Ovis aries: one gene and its partner. The protein of the gene in region 1 interacts with the protein of each later gene in a biochemical or structural test. Links are inferred from orthologs where the notes say so. Each region holds a gene or a part of one and is shown on either strand. Other genes may lie near its edges.

What was found.
Region 2: the proteins of RDX (region 1) and ARHGDIA form a complex in vitro, tested with the Homo sapiens proteins (2 studies listed by BioGRID and IntAct). The link is inferred for Ovis aries from reciprocal best matches to the Homo sapiens genes RDX and ARHGDIA.

What each region holds. Positions count from the first base shown.
Region 1 is NC_056068.1:20,029,704-20,037,676, reverse strand, and holds the start of RDX (radixin), read left to right. Parts: upstream 1-2,642; 5' UTR 2,643-2,827; intron 2,828-7,973. UniProt on the Homo sapiens protein: Probably plays a crucial role in the binding of the barbed end of actin filaments to the plasma membrane.
Region 2 is NC_056064.1:50,518,729-50,526,682, forward strand, and holds ARHGDIA (rho GDP-dissociation inhibitor 1), read left to right. Parts: upstream 1-2,779; 5' UTR 2,780-3,523; intron 3,524-3,609; 5' UTR 3,610-3,735; intron 3,736-4,328; 5' UTR 4,329-4,355; coding exon 4,356-4,545; intron 4,546-4,646; coding exon 4,647-4,730; intron 4,731-5,094; coding exon 5,095-5,171; intron 5,172-5,250; coding exon 5,251-5,314; intron 5,315-5,429; coding exon 5,430-5,629; 3' UTR 5,630-6,782; downstream 6,783-7,954. UniProt on the Homo sapiens protein: Controls Rho proteins homeostasis. Regulates the GDP/GTP exchange reaction of the Rho proteins by inhibiting the dissociation of GDP from them, and the subsequent binding of GTP to them.

The DNA of each region.
Region 1 (7,973 bases):
GTTTTTCTTACAACTATTGATAATATTAGGGTTTTTTCTTTTTAAAGTAGTTTTTCACAAGTGTGAGTTTTCTTTTTAACACTTAAAATCTGCACTGTTGTTATTAAACTGAGAAAGAAAATTTTCAATTAAGCCTTAAAAAAAAATTTTTTTTTTCACTGCAAAAGTAGTACAGAATATAATGAAGACTAGAATAAGGGGCAGGGGGTAACGGATGCCCGTAGAAACACTATCCTGAGACAACTCTGTGTTTCAATTTTTCTTTTTGTCTAACACCTCATAGGTGTCTTTTTTTTTTTTTTTTTAAGAAAAACATAGATGTGATCATACTGCATGATTAGTTTCACAACTTGTAGCGGTATTTTTTTTTTTTTTTACCACTTAATGCTATATATTTTAAGTTTTTACCTAAAATGCTACCAAATATTTATAGCTATCTTCAAGACATTTAATTTCCACAATATTTATTTTTGCATCTTGTAAATTGTGACATACAGTTTATGAATAAAACTTTTGCTCTATTACAGATTATTTCATTCAGCAAGAATCCCAGATATGAGATTATGGGTTACAAGGGTATGAACATTTTTATAGGTTGAATCACAGTGCCAAATTTTTCTAAACAGGTTGTTTCTGTTTACACTCCACTCACAATGTCTCTCAGCACCTTTTTAATCTCACCAGCACTGAATATTATCCTTCATTTAAATAGTTACTAACATGATAGCTGACTGAAGTGTTACAGTTTCTCCTCTGTTTGCTGTTGAAGAGTATAGGATAAAATCAAGGCTTTGGAATCAAATGATACTGGGTTGGTCAGATTGCACAACTTCCTAGCTGTGTTACAGTAAGCAAATTACTTAACTCCTTTGAGGCTCTATTTACGGGTTTTTAAAAACGTCAATAACATTTACCTCAAACTCAGGGTTGTTATAATTATTTTAAAAAGCCAGTCTTACAAAGCATTTCATACCAGTGCCTGTCATGTGACACATGATAATGAATGCTTCATTTTCTGTCACAAAAGTATGTTTGATTAGTGTACTATCTAGGAATTTACACAATAGTTTGACTATCTTTATGCATGCAGCTTGTTGTAGAAGTCTGAAAAATCACCGGGATAATTGTTCCACCCCAGGGAGAAGGTCAGGGAGTAATCCTATAGTTAAAGAAAAGCACACACCTGGTTCCCATCTTCGAGGACTCTGCACTCTAAAGGCCTTAGAATTAACTTGAGACTTTTAATTGTTCCAAGTGGTCTCAAAGGGCAATGGTGGAAACACGCTTAAGAGTAAATTTAATGAAAGTGATCAGAGGAGAGTTTCCGGAAAAAGCCATAGTCTCAGGGAAGACAAACAGAAAAGCAAGAAGGATACCGATTATTTGCTCTAAAAAAGTTGAGTACACTGGGTGAGGTTGTATTTGAATGGGTTTCCCTGGTGGCTCAGACCCTTAAGAATCTGCCTGCAATGCAGGAGACCTTGGTTCCATCCTGAGATCAGGAATATCCCCTGGAGAAGGGAATTGTTACCCTCCAGTATTCTTGCCTGGAAAATTCCATGGACAGAGGAGCCCGGCGGGCTACAGTCCATGGGGTCGCAAAGAGTTGGACACGACTGAGCAAATTTTTCATTTTCAAACTTTGTTAATAAAAAGTAAACTATATAAAGCAGGTCAAACTAGGCTACTCTGATTTTGTGCACTTGCTATTTCCATACGTAGAGCAAGTTTTGCTCTTTGAATCCCAGAAAATACAAGAGGAATGGGAGTAGATGACAGAACAATGACCGTAAGTCTGTCTAGCCCCGACCACTACTAAAACGAGTGGGCTAGTCAGACCATGATCAAATGCCTAACTTCACAAAGTCAAAGATAATTTAGGTTTGGCTGCTCTTTGCGGTGTCCCACTTCCATCAATTTTCTTTTACTGACTTCTTCCTTGCCCGGATAAAAATTTGCACTCTCGATTGGGATTTTGGTGGGGCCTAAAAATTGTCCCTGAAAAAGTAAGTTTACTGGTTGGGTAAACACTGCCAAAATAAAGTTCTTCATTGTCTATATAAATCCCTCTAAGGCAGGCCTTTTTTTCTCTCCCGATCCAGGGTTTTCAAGCTTTCAAGAGCCAAGTAACGCGCTCCACTCGGTCGTTGATTCCCTGGGAAAGAATGCCTTGTTGGGGGCGATGGAAACGCCCTCTGAATTTTCTGGCACCAGCGGGAGTTTCAAGTTTCCACCGGTCGCGGGGAGGCGGCAGGCCCACTCCCAGCTCTGGGTTTGGGCGGTTCCGCTTCCCGGGCCATCGGGCTTCACTCTAGCCCAGTCCCCCTCACGGAAGGAGCGGCCCACCCCCGCGCTCGGCCCCGTTCCCTAGGGACTCCGGAGCCGCGCCCGGGTCCTCGCGCGTCCCCGCCCCGGACGGAGACCCTCCCTGCCCGCGGGCGACGCCCGGGCCGGCGAGTGGCCGCGAGCCCGAGGGGCTGGGCGGGGCCGGGCCGGGGCGGGGCGCGGGCGGCGGGGTGGCGGCCGCCGCAGCGGCGTTGGCGCTCGGGCCGCGGCGCGAGGCCGGCCGGCCGGCAGGGGGAGGCGGGGGGCGCGGGGCGCGGGGCAGCCCCGCCTCTCCCCCGAGGAGCCGCCGGGCAGCCATATTGCGGAGCTGTCTGCGGTGGCGGCGGTACCTCTACTCTCCGGCGTCCCGGCGCTCGCTCCACCGCCGCCTCTCTCTCTCTCTCTCTCTCTCTCTCTCTCCCCTTGCCGCAGCCGCGACGCCCGCCGCCGCCGCGCAGCGCCCGGCCACTCTCGCGGCGGGAAGCAGCCGCCCGCTCCTGAGGTAAGCCGCCGGCGCGCTCCCTTCCCCCACGGCCGCTCCCGGGCTCCGCCGGAGCCGCTGAGGTGGCGGCGAGAAGTCGCGGCGCCCGGTGCTGCCCGCTGGCCTCGCCGCCAGGGCCGCGGCGCCGCTTGTCCTAACGGTCCGGCAGGCCAGGCCGCTCCTGCGGTCGCGGACGCCGCGAGGCTTGGCCGGCGTCTCGGCCGCGGCCTGAACACGCCGCGGCGAGCTGCTGCCCCCCGGGCGCGGGTCCGCCCTCCGCGTCGGCCCCGGGCTCGGTCGGGCTCCCGCCGCTCGGGCGCCGCCCCGGGCTCGGCCTGGCTCGTCCCTTCTAGGCAGTCTTGAGAATGCAGATTTAAGCGTAGAAAAAAATGACATAATTATTATCATTTTTTGCTGTGGTAGGAAAGGAATTTATTACCATTTCTCCCTGGTCTCCGATTTGAAAGCAAAGGTGTTGAATTACTAGAGAGCGTGAGTTCCGCCGTGGCGGCAAAGGGAGGTTGCGTGACGGGGCTCGGGGCGCGAGCGGCCCCCGCACCCGCGCGGCGGCCCTGGCGGCTCCGGCCCCGGCCCTACCTGCTGCTGCTGAAGTTGCGGGCGCCCCCCGAGCCCCGTAACTTTCTCGGATTTTGGATCTTAGACCGCAGTAGACAAGTTGAGTACATTACAGCCCCCTCTTCCTTTAAAGGGTTGTAAACGTAATTCTCAGGCTAACTTTGAAAGGGGCGGGGGTGGGGTGGGGTGGAACACTATATTATTTTAGTTTAAATAGAGCGCATCACATCCTATACAGATGTAGCATGGTTCTTTATTCACACCATGTATTGAGCGTTTTTTTCTTTTTTTAAAATACCATTAAGGACTGGTTATTAACGAGGCTGGAAATGTGTTGAAAGTCAGCTTCATCAACGATATGTTTTAAAATCTATCTACTTGAGATTTTTGTCGAAATGTTAATGAGTTCTGTGGCAATAGACAAGCATGATGTAAATGTAAATACCTAAGATAGTAAGCATTTGTTTGATAAACGAGCGCTCGAAAATAGGCATTGCAATCTATTGTTTACTGAGCATACATTTTTTTTAGAGCACTAAATACTCTTTTATATTTCGGATGGAGCTCTGAATGAACAATTGCCCCGTTCATTTGCTGGATAAATAATGGCTTAATCCGTTTACCATAACAGCATTATTAGAATTAAGAAGCGAGGCTAATATTCAGGGTTGCATTTACATTTTTTTTAGTACTACCTTATTTTCACGTGTGCTTTATCTTCCAAAGACTAATAATTACCGCAAATGTGGTAAAAACGTAAAAGATTTCTTTTGAAGTTAGTGGATTATAATTCATCTGTAAAATGAATTGCACTTTGTTTCTTTTGTTTAATTACTTTTGTAAAGTGCATAATGGTATTTAATAAACAATGTTTTTTTAGTGAGAGATGAATAGATACTCATTGAAATGCTTTACAGTATATTTAAATGAAACAAAATTTGTGGCATTTAGGAATGTTGAATTCTTGCCCTTGTGGATTATACATCGTTTTGTTCACTCCTGTGTTCCCAAGCATGGCAGAGCGTAGGAGAGGCTCAGAACTGAAATTAATTTCAGCATGGGGAAAATATGTTTAGTCTGTCCTTTGTTTTGGACATTTGCATTAACTGGAAATTAAATTGATATGTTTTTCCTGTGGTGGTGACAAATGACAGACTGCTATTCTTTCTCTCTTTTGCTAACACTCAGTAGTATCAGAGAACAAGGATTATTTCTTGATTTTTTGCTTCTCTATTCCCAGGAGCAGAATTGGCTTTTATTATCCATTTTTATCTTTGGCAGGCGGTTGAAATGAAAGTCTGTATGCATTTTATCTTAATTTCAGATCTGAATCTTCTAATATAATCTAATGTAATTTTCTAGTACAGTAGAGTCTGAAATCTTCAGTTAGGATGGGAGTCAACTTTTTTCATTTATTTTTAACTTAATTCAACTTAACATACATCATTTCAAAATGACAAATTTTAATCGATATTTCCCAAAGACCAAAGCCTAAAACAAAGTGTCCTGTTAAGACTGTGAGGATAGTCATGTTGGGGAACATACTTGATAGGGAATAGTTAATATAATACTATGGTATTGGTGTCGATCTAGGAAGTCAAGAAAGTCACCCTTTCTTGGATGGCTTGGACATCCTGCAGCCCAGTAGCTCTTCTCAGGACCCTGATAACTACCCTTGGCTTACTGGAGTCAGTGGAACTGGATTGGACTGCTGTAGATTACACTCTTACAAGGTGATTTTAAACCTCACCGTGTCAGAAGCCCTTTAGGGGAACTTCCCTAACTTCTGCCTCAAGTATATGTTCAGTTGAGTGGTAGGTGGCTCGTCTGACCCCAGAGATTTCCTCAGTTTCTAGCCTCTTTCAGAGGAATCCTGCTTTACTGTTTATATTAGTTCTTGGTATATTTTTCAATATTCATTTACATTGCATATATTTTAAACCACTTTAAATGACTGTAAAATTAATAAATTTTATGACAAACTTAAAAAAATCAGAAAGATGTTAAAAGTTCTCCCCAACTTCCCAGAACACCCCCCAGTCTTGTTTTTCAGAGGTAATTGCTATTAGCCATTCCTCCTATGTAGAAAATGGCAATATTTATGGAAGGGTAAATATATACTTTATATATATATCCCTTATTTGCAATTTTAAAGTCTTTAAAAGTAAGGTTATTTTGTAACAAACAGTGAAAGGATGTTTGTTTATTACTGTGTTTAGTATTCAGTACTTAATATTTCTTGGATTTTTCATCATTTAAAGTCAAAATGGAATTTCCTATAAGAAGTGTTTACGTACCTGTGTAAATTTTTTTCATGATTGAAGGTGAATTCACTTTTTGTTTTCTTCCTAGGGAATGGTATATAACTGACACTGGAAAATATCCTTTAAAAAAGGGTTTATGATTTTGGATAGTGAAATGTCCCTATGATAGATGTAGCTTTTTGCCTGGAAACTGTTTGGAAAGAAAGTATGGTTCATATGATTCACTTCTTTATTTCTTCGTTCTTTTTGATAGCGAATCCAGTCTTTCACTTCTTAGAGGGTTTTTTTCAGGTTAGCATTTGTATAGGTTTTTTTTTTTTTTTTTTACTATTACTCATTTTTGAGTACATTGGGCCTTAGTTGGTGTCTTTGTGCTGCATGAGGGATCTCTCCTTGCTGAGCGCGGGCCTAGTTGAAGTGCATGGGCTCCAGAGCGATTGGGCTCTGTAGTTGTGACCTGTGGGCCTAGTTGGCCCTGTGGCATGTGGGATCCTAGTTCCTCCTCCTTCTTTGGAAGGTGGACTCTTAACTGCTGGACTACCAGGGAAGTCCCTGTATAGGTGTGTTTTTTTGTGTTTGTTTTTTTGAATAGTCAATATTTATAGAAGTTCTTGCAAATTCATAGAATTTTAACTTTTTTTAGCAGAATTCTAAAGTACATTTTATAGAAGCTAGTTATATATGTCAATAAGGTCATTGGACTTTTCTTTTACATCAGGTGCTCTAATATAAATAGGATGCTCTAGAAACATTGGTTGCTTTTCTGCATAATTTACATATATTTGAAATAAAAAACTTTTAGCTCTAGTAAAGTTGATTTATTGGAAAATGACATTATCTTTACTGTTAACTGGAGAAGAGATCAGCAAGCTAATTTGTAGACCAAATTCAGCCCACTACCTGTTTTTGTAAATAAAGTTTTATTTCAACACATGATAACTCATTGGTTTGCCTGTTGTCTATGGTTGCTACTGTGCTACCACAGAGAGTAGTTGCAAAAGGTTTTGTGGGCCACAAAACCTAAAAGGTTTACTTAATCTGGCCCTTTGCAGAGAAGTTGGCTGACTCCTGCTTTAAGGTATCATTCATACATTTGAACGTTTATAATCATATGCCAGATATTCTTTGCATTTGTTAAGTAAGATAATGAGACCATCACACTTTAATGGGAATATACTTGTGCCATTTTATATGCCATGACATGTATTTAAATGCTGTTTGTGTATATAAACTGTAATTCATATACAGTGTAACAGCATTGTAAGCATAGTTTTTTGTGATGTGAATTTTTGTTTTGTACTAAAAAAAAAAAAAAGAAAAAAACTTCTTGTGTTTCTGCGGATTAGCTGATAACCTTTTGATAACCAGAGTAATTTTTTGTAATCAGAAATCCGGGTAGTACTCAGAATGATGTGGGCACGAGTGTAATAGAGGGACTGTTAAAAGGGAGAATGGGGACATAGGAGATCTCAGCCCTGGTTAATTGAATCCAGTCATGCCTTGGCTTTTATTGAAAGTGTGGGATGGGCTAAACTTTCATTAGCCATCCTTAGCAGTCTTGATATTTAAGCTGTTTCTAGATTCTAGACTGAAGGAAACTATAAAATTTTAGTTTGGTTATTAAGCAAAGTTGGCACTCCAAATCTGTGCATTCTCCCAACCTTGATTGAAAATATTCCGTGGGGGTGGGGGAGAGTTCTTGAAAGTTCCAAAAAGTAAAACTTGAAAGCCACATGCTGGCAAGTATTTACATTGTATTTACAATTGTTTACATAGCATTTAGCATTGGGCTTCCCTGGTAGCTTAGAGGTTAAAGCGTCTGCCTGCAATGCAGGAGACCCAGGTTCCATCCCTGGGTTGGGAAGTTCCCCTGGAGAAGGAAATGGCAACCCACTCCAGGATTCTTGCCTGGAGAATCCCATGGACAGAGGAGCCTGGTGGGCTACAGTCCACGGGGTCGCAAAGAGTCGGACACAACTGAGCGACTTCACTTCACTAGTATTGTATTTACAGTTATTTACATAGTACTTACATTGTATTAGGTATTATAAGTAATGTAGAGATAATTTAAAGTATATGGGAGGATTTGTATAGGTTATATGCAGATATATTTTATACGTATGTGTGTGCATGCTAAGTCTCTTCAGTTCAGTTCCTTCACTCAGTTGTGTCCGGCTCTTTGAGACCCCATAGACTGCAGCACGCCAGGCCTCCCTGTCCATCACCGACTCCCAGAGTTTACTCAAACTCATGTCCATTGAGTTGGTGATGCCATCCAACCATCTCATCCTCTGTTGTCCCCTTCTCCTGCCTTCAGTCTTTCCCAG
Region 2 (7,954 bases), on another chromosome or scaffold:
TAAAAATGGAGTCACACTGGCCAATGTGAACTTCCATGTTAGTTGTTTTGAAATGTCTGCTGTAGCACTGTGAGTATCTTAAGTGATAAACTAAGAGTATTACTTTAGATAAGAAGCTTGAAGGATGATGTATGTCACTTGAAGAAAAAGAACAACTGTTAAGAGTCAAGGAGTCAAGACCCCTCCCCCTAGGGTTAACTGCTGCTCCGTAAGAGACCACTATGCCCAGTGACTGAAAACTCTTCCCTGGAGGAACCTACTCCACACTGTTGAGAGCTGTTCCAACTATTTTGGACACTGCCAGAGGCCCTGCTGGAGCAGAAGGCAACTTCCCATTCATGTTTGCCTTGAGACCTATGGCCCCGGGACCAAAGACGCTGCTCTTGCTGACAGGCCTCCATTTCAAGCTCCATTTCAAGCTTCTCCCTGGAGTGGTTCATTACCCCTTTGTCCCTCCTTTGTAATTGTATGTAATAAACTGAGTGATTTGTGAACTGAATATTGGCTACTGTTTCATATATCTCTATTCCTGATTCTCACCTACTCTTACTGCTGGGCCCTGCCCTTCCTTCAGGCACAGAAAACAGGTTTCTTGGAACATTTGTTTTTGAAGTCCCAGTGGCCAAAATTCCACAGGAGCCTTGTGGGAAAGTCCTTGTGTCAATAGCCCGGGCTGAGCGCCATGCAACGCGGTCATCTTTTTGTTGTTGTTTTCATTTTATCACCTCAAGCAGCATATGGGATCTTAGTTCCCTGACCAGGAATTGAACCTGTTCCCCCTGTAGAATCTTAACCACTGGACCACCAAGGAAGTTCTGGAGTAATTTGTTACATACATGGGATGATGGTACCGCTGTTATTAACTCCCAAAGGAACTTTTTACTTAGAATATTGTGTGTAGAACTATTTATGGTAGAGGTAACATTTGAGGTTTGCTTCAAACTTATTCCACGTGGTAAGGAGATGAGGGCACACATGGCACAGGGTTGGAGACAAGCTGGAGGGCACCTGTAGACGCTGATGGCAGATACTCTGGGCTTCATATTCCCATTCTTTCTGCCTCCATCCATGTGGTGGGCCACCTCCAAGATGGCTGAATGGCCCAGCTCATCTCCTTGTCCTCATGTTCCCATGCTCCCCTCCAGCACTGTACTGGGGAAGCTCCACATGCCCAGCAGAAGAGCAGAAGCAACGGCACCTCTGATACTAGGTTGTGAGGGGCACTGTGGCTTTGTTTTGCGCACTTGCTGTTTCCCTGGCTCGGATTCTCTTTCTGAGGCCTCACTCCGCGAAAGCCAGCTGCCTTACAGAGAAGCCAGAAGCTGTGGGCAGCAGGGAACTAAATCCTCCAGCCAACAGCCTGTGAGGATCAGAGCCTCCTGCCCACAGCACGTGCATAAGCTTGGAATGCTTGCAGATCCTGAAACCAGGTCCCTGGCTCACAGTTCAACCACAACCTCACTAGACGAGCCAGAACCACCGAGCGGAGCTCTCCCTGATCCTCGGTAAGGACAGTGTATGTTGGTCGTTTCAAGCTGCTAAATTCCAGGGTTATGTTTTTACACAGCAATAGGTGACTAATATAACAGAGTTAGATAGTTTTCAAAAAGCACTTGGGTTATCGAAAAACAAACTTTTGCTCAGTCAGCGATTGGGCAATGTAGCAGGACGCAGGATGAGTGCGTCGGGGACTAGCCGGGCAGTTTTCAGGTGCGCCAACAGGAAGCCTCAAAAGTGTGTATGGAATAAATACAAGATTGGAATGCTCTGCCTTTGGCCAACTCAACTTTCTACATGTTAAGCTGACCATGTGACTCTTCATTACAGAAAACTCGCAAATATTCCCCCAAAGTTAAGACATTTCCAAAAGATACCAAGGTCAGTATTTCACATTAGGTTCTGTGACCTAAAACGCCCCCACCACGTGCAATCCAGGGGTGTGTGTTTGTGATGACTCGGGTGTGAAGCATTTGAGGTCTTGCACTCCGCGAGGAGGAGGCGAAGGAAGAAGAGATGCATGCTAGACCGGCGTTGGCAGCGCAGGCTCCGCCAGCCTGGCTACAAATCATAGGCCCGGCTTGGCGCTGCAAAATCCTCGCTGGTTGAAGGCGTGGGCATGTGTCCGATAGTCGCCACGCCTGGTGGCGTCTGGGCTAGGAGCTCCCAAAAGGGCGACCGCATGGTGACTTGGGCTGGAAGGGGAAAGGCCTGGAGAGAGCTATTTGGACACCCGTGGATGAACGTTCGACGATAACTTCCGGGAGGGCGGACATCGGCGAGTGGGCGCGAAGGCAGCCTAAGGCCGGACAGCTGCCACTCGCTGACCTCGGCTACTTGATGGGATCGGCTGTGCCGGCTCGTCCCCGCGGCGTGATGGCAGCGGGCCCTCGAAGGGAGAGATGCCCGCTGACGGAGACGCGCCCGTGACACACGCGCGTCCCAGCACCTCGCAGAAATACCATGCCGCGCTCAGGTTTCTCGTGGCGCTCAGCGAGACCATCTCACTTCCCCACCCCTTCAGCTTGCCGGCAGACTCCTGAGGATACCCGGGACTAAGAAAAGCCTGTGGCAAAGAGCACAGGAGCCCCAACCGGACAAGTCTCCTTTGCCGCGCTGCCCAAACGGACGCGCCCACGAGGCCGGTCCGCAAGATGGCGGCGGCGCGCTGCCGGCAGCTCCTCGCACATGCGCTATCCGCGGCCCGCCCGGCGCGAGCGGAAGTCGCGTGACCCCGGAAGTGGCCGGCAGGGCGCGCGCGGGCGGGGCGGCGACGTTCGTCATTCTGTGCGGGAGGGAGCGCGAGAGCGGCGCGGACGATCCTCCGGTGAGTGCGGGCGGCGAGGCCAGCGAGCGCGGTGGGCACGGCGGGCGAGGCGGCCGCGGGGAAGGAGGCCGGGGCCGCGCCTTTGTTCTCGCTTCCCGCCCCGCCCGCCAGTCCCGCTGAGGGAATCTGCGCAGGGCGGGGGCGGCATTGACAGCGGGCGGCGCCCCGGGCGCAGGGCGGGCCCACGTGCGATCGGGGGCGCGGGGATCTGGAGGCGGGGGCGCGTGTGCCGGGGGTGGGAGCCGGGGTCTGTGCAGACCTCTTTTGTGGTCGCTGCTCGTACTCGGCAGCCCCCTGCTTGCTGGTGCGCGCGGACCAGGGCCAGGCGGGACGCCTCCTCCCCTGGGAGGTGAGGTCCCTGCGCCCCACCCTGCTTGCCGGGCCTCGCCTGGCCCAGATTGCAGGCCCTGCGGAAGTGCGGGCCTCGCCATCGCACTTAAATGATTTTGTCGCCTGCGGCCGCGCTTGAGTGACGTTAAGGCGTGAGCCTTCTAGAGGAATTCCAGAGGAAGCTGCAGGGAAGCTTGGAAAGAACGAGCCGGCCCCACCCTGCCTGTGGCGGCCGGGCGGTTCCGGGTCCCCAGCGGCCCTTTGTAAGATCGGGTCCTCACGCACGTCCCGGCATTGGCTGTCTTTACTGGCAACCGGTGGCCCTGACCCACCTCCCACACCGCCGGGTCTAGTCTGAGTCGGTTTCAGGTACTCCTCAGGGATTCTGCGGGGTGCGACGGTCATCCTTAGCGAAGGAAGTCCTGTGGCTGCCCCATCACTTCTCGCTTTGACAGCATTGCTCTGGGCTCTTCTGGGGCCCGGGCGGAAGGAGGATCTTGAGACTACCCATCACATGGCTGCAGCAGTTCTCAAATTCTAGGTCACAGACCCTCACAATTAGAGATTGGTTTGTCGGACAGGTAGGGTCTTTTAGGCCATTTCAGGACTTACCTGTGGGACTTAGGCTAGCCCCGTCATCTGAGCTCTAGGGGAGACCTGTGTTTGGGCTGGAGGGAGACATGACTGACCCATGTCCTGCACAAAGGCCTTGGTTTGTAGCTGGGGCGTTTTTGAAGGAACAGGCTGGTCAGAGAGAACCCAGCAAGAGGGTTTCCTTGAGGAGAGGGCCTAGGCAGCTCAGAACAAGAAGCAGCACTTGGTCCTGGTGCTTCCTGGTTGGACCCAGGTGCTGCTGCTTCCTGGGCAGCAGGGAAGCTGTGCCTGCTTTCCTTTCATTTAGCTCTGGATGCTGGGGTGAGGTCCTGTGAGGTGGGCAGGGCGAGGAGGTGAGTGGCCCCTTTGGGCTTCAGGAGCCTGTGTCTGGGCCTTTTATGAAGTTCTGGCTGTCACTGCCTTCCTGTTAGAGAACGTGCACCTCCCCTTGGGCCCAGGTTGGGGGTTTGGCCACTTGCAGAGAGCCAGTGCAGACCACCTGCAGGTCCTGCAGAAGGGCAGGTGGGGACACACTGTGGGTCCCTCCAGGCTGCCGCAGCCCCTGCTACTCTGGTCACAGGTGTCTCACATCCAGCTAGAGGTGAGTATGGCTGAGCAGGAGCCCACAGCCGAGCAGTTGGCACAGATTGCGGCAGAGAACGAGGAGGACGAGCACTCGGTCAACTATAAGCCCCCGGCCCAGAAGAGCATTCAGGAGATCCAGGAGCTGGACAAGGACGACGAGAGTCTGCGCAAATACAAGGAGGCCCTCCTGGGCCGCGTGGCTGTGTCTGCCGGTAAGTGGGCCCCGGTGGGGTGTGTGGACACCTGTCGCTTTTCTGGGTGTCCGCCACTATTTCCCCTGCTGGCGGAGCTCTAACTTGCTGTCACTCTGCAGACCCCAATGTCCCCAATGTTGTGGTGACCCGACTGACCCTGGTGTGTAGCACTGCCCCGGGCCCCCTGGAGCTGGACCTGACAGGTGAGTGGCATCTCCAGGTTCCTCGCTGGGGCTGCCTGGCACCCTGCTAATTCCCCTAAAAATAATTTGTTGAGATGCTGGCGCCCTCTTGTGGGGAGCCTAGGAAGTGCAACCAAGTGATTTTAATAAGGCTCTGGCTTTGGTGTGGCCTGGGATTGGAGGGTGGGGTGTGTGTGGGTGTCTGGGGTGTGGCCTGGGATGTCAAGGGGTGTGTGTGTGGGTGTGGGTGTGTGGGTGTGTGTGTTTGGTGTGGCCTGGGATGCCGGGGGTGTGTGTGTGTAGAGGGGCAGACAGGGCACCCCACCAGGGCCGGAGTGGCTTCCCCTACCTGAACCTCCTAGTGTGGCGTTCCTCTCAAACGCAGGTGATCTGGAGAGCTTCAAGAAGCAGTCTTTTGTGCTGAAGGAGGGTGTGGAATATCGGATAAAAATCTCCTTCCGGGTAAGGAGGAGGCTTGGGGGGATGCTGGGGGCTCGGACTGGAGAGTCTGGCTGAGCCCCGCTTGTGTGCCTCCTTGCAGGTGAACCGAGAGATTGTGTCCGGCATGAAGTACATCCAGCACACGTACAGGAAAGGCGTGAAGAGTGAGTGCGGGGGCACCAGGAGGGAGGTGGCCACCGGGGGCTCAAGGGGCGCCGGGAGGGAGCGGGGAAAGGCCCGCCTCAGCTCCCTGACGGACGCCCTCCCCGTGCCCCACAGTTGACAAGACTGACTACATGGTGGGGAGCTATGGGCCCCGGGCGGAGGAGTATGAGTTCCTGACGCCCATGGAGGAGGCGCCCAAGGGCATGCTGGCTCGAGGCAGCTACAACATCAAGTCCCGCTTCACAGACGACGACAGGACTGACCACCTGTCCTGGGAATGGAACCTCACCATCAAGAAGGAGTGGAAGGACTGAGCCGGGAGGCGGGCAGGGCGGGCGGACGGAAGGACGGACGCGCCCCACCCCACCACCCCATCCCCCCGACCCCAGACCAAAGTGCTGACAGGGCCCGCCCACGCTGCCGCCACTGCCCCTGGGCTGCCTCCTGGCTGGCCTGTCCCTCCTCCGCCCTTCCAGCCCGCTGGCCCCAGCCTCCTCGGTGGTCTAGTGTTGCTGCTTCCGCCTGTGCTGTGGGGAGGGAGGCCTCGACCTCCCCTTCTGTATCCCTCAAGATTCCCCCACTGTCCTGACCCGACCTGAGTCCTTGGCATGGGAGTCAGGCATCGCAGTGGGGCTCAGGGTGCTCAGGTCCCCTGGGCCTTCTCTGTTATGTTACCTGGACTCCTGTCGCCCCCTTCCTGGTAGGGGTGGGGTGTACCGCGTGGGGCCTCGTGGGGCCGGTTGTCCTCAAGCTTTCACTTCTCCCCGGTCAGTCCATCCATCACTGTCAGTAACGGTCTAACCATGATGCCTTAACATGTGGAACGTGTGCTGTGGGGGCGTCACTAACCTCTAACCCTGTGTCTGCATGAGCATGTGGTGTCTCCCCCTCAATCCCTACCCCGTCTGTGATCCCCGTGGCCCGGGAAGGCTTCTGGGATGTGCTGGTCCCTAGTCTGCCCTGGCCTGTCCAGGCCCGCAGGGACAGCTCCAGGGGCTTGGGAAAAGCCAAATTGCCAAAACTCAAAAGCGGCCTCCAGTCCCACCTGGGAGGCTCGGTGTCTTCACGCCTCTGCCTTCTTTGTCCCAGTGGGCAGTGCCTAGAGCCCACGGCCCCAAGAGAGAGCCCTCGGCAGACAAAGCCAGTGGCCGAGCCTTACTTGTCCCTCCTGGCCTGCCGGCCTGGAGTTGTGTGCCTGGCCCGTCAGTATTTATTGCCTCCATATGTGCCGTCCTCTGGGCCCGCTGGCCTGCCCCTCTGCCCCCGGGCTCGGTGCCACCATCCCCAGCAGGCCCTCCCTGGACCCAGCCAGGACAACCGTGGGACCAAGCTTGCACCGCTGGAGCCGTCCCCTCTGCCCCCACCCCACCCGACCCCACCCTCCCCGGTCAGGCCCGGGCCTAGAATGCACAGGAGCCTGTCCCTGCTTCTCCTTTTCTGACCGGGAAATAAACTTCCCCCTAAGGAGCTAGGGTGTCTGCTGCTCATCTGGTGGGGAAGGGGAAATGGGGACCCTGTTGCTCTGCTTCCCCGGGGCACTGCAGGAGGGCCAGGGGCCAGGCGCAGTCACCACTGTCTGAGGCTGGTGAAGGAGAAGGTTTACAGCCCTTACTCAGACGCATCAGCCCACCAGGCTAGTGCTGTCCTTTTGGCTGGGTGGGTTCTGCCGGGGAAAGGGGGCGGGGACAGTTGGGTCCAGTGGGGCATCCAGTGTCCAGGTGACTCCTGCACACCGCTTGTGGGCCCTGTCAGCCTCTGGGAGGGAATGGTTCCAACCTCAAAAAAGGGGAACCATGCGGAAGACTTGGGAACAAATAGAATGACTGGGTCCCAAGGAAACCAGAACAGGAACTCAGCTGAATGGGAGGGTGGAGAAGTTGGCAGCAGGGCCAGTGGAGAGGGTGGCGTGGAAGACCAGAGGTCCAAAGGTGGGATTGCTGAGGTGGGGTGGATGGGGGGAGATGGGGACCCTTGCTGCATGGAGGCGCAGAAGAGCGCCTGGGGAGCCCTGAAGGACCGACTACCACCACTGCCAGTCCCGCTACTTGGCAGGGTCTCTCCAGGACCTTGGGGTGGCAGGGATGGTGCTACCTCAGCATCACCCTCAAGGGCACCCAGGAACTGAGAGACCCCTTACCGACTGAAGAAGGAGAAGGCAAATAGGAAACCCCAGTTCCATCCAGATAGAAGGTTGAGTCCAGAAACCCCATTTCAGGGCTCAGTGGCAAAACTTTTAGGGTGAAATCTCCCTTTGTGCTCAGCTGGTGAGAAGACTGTGTGCCACACCTAGGCTGCTGCTGGGGGCCCGCCCTGGCCACGCCTCCCAGAGGCTGCAACTTTTCCCAGTTCTTAGCAGCAGGGTGAGCCCTTGAAGGATTTATTGCCAGCTGAAGCAGACCAGGAAGTACCCTTTCACTCCCACCCCCCAGGCCAGTGACCACATGCCATGCCAGGATGGCTCCCACAGGGCTGGTTACTGCCTGGCTTTCCTTACCCCACGGCCCCTGTGGGCTTCTGGAGGTGGGTCCCTGTGCTGGGTACCAGCACAAACTGCCACTTTCTGCAGCAGCTGGCCCAAACACAAATCCAAGAGTCACAGCCACAGGGGACAAAGACCCTAACCAACCTCTCCTGGGACC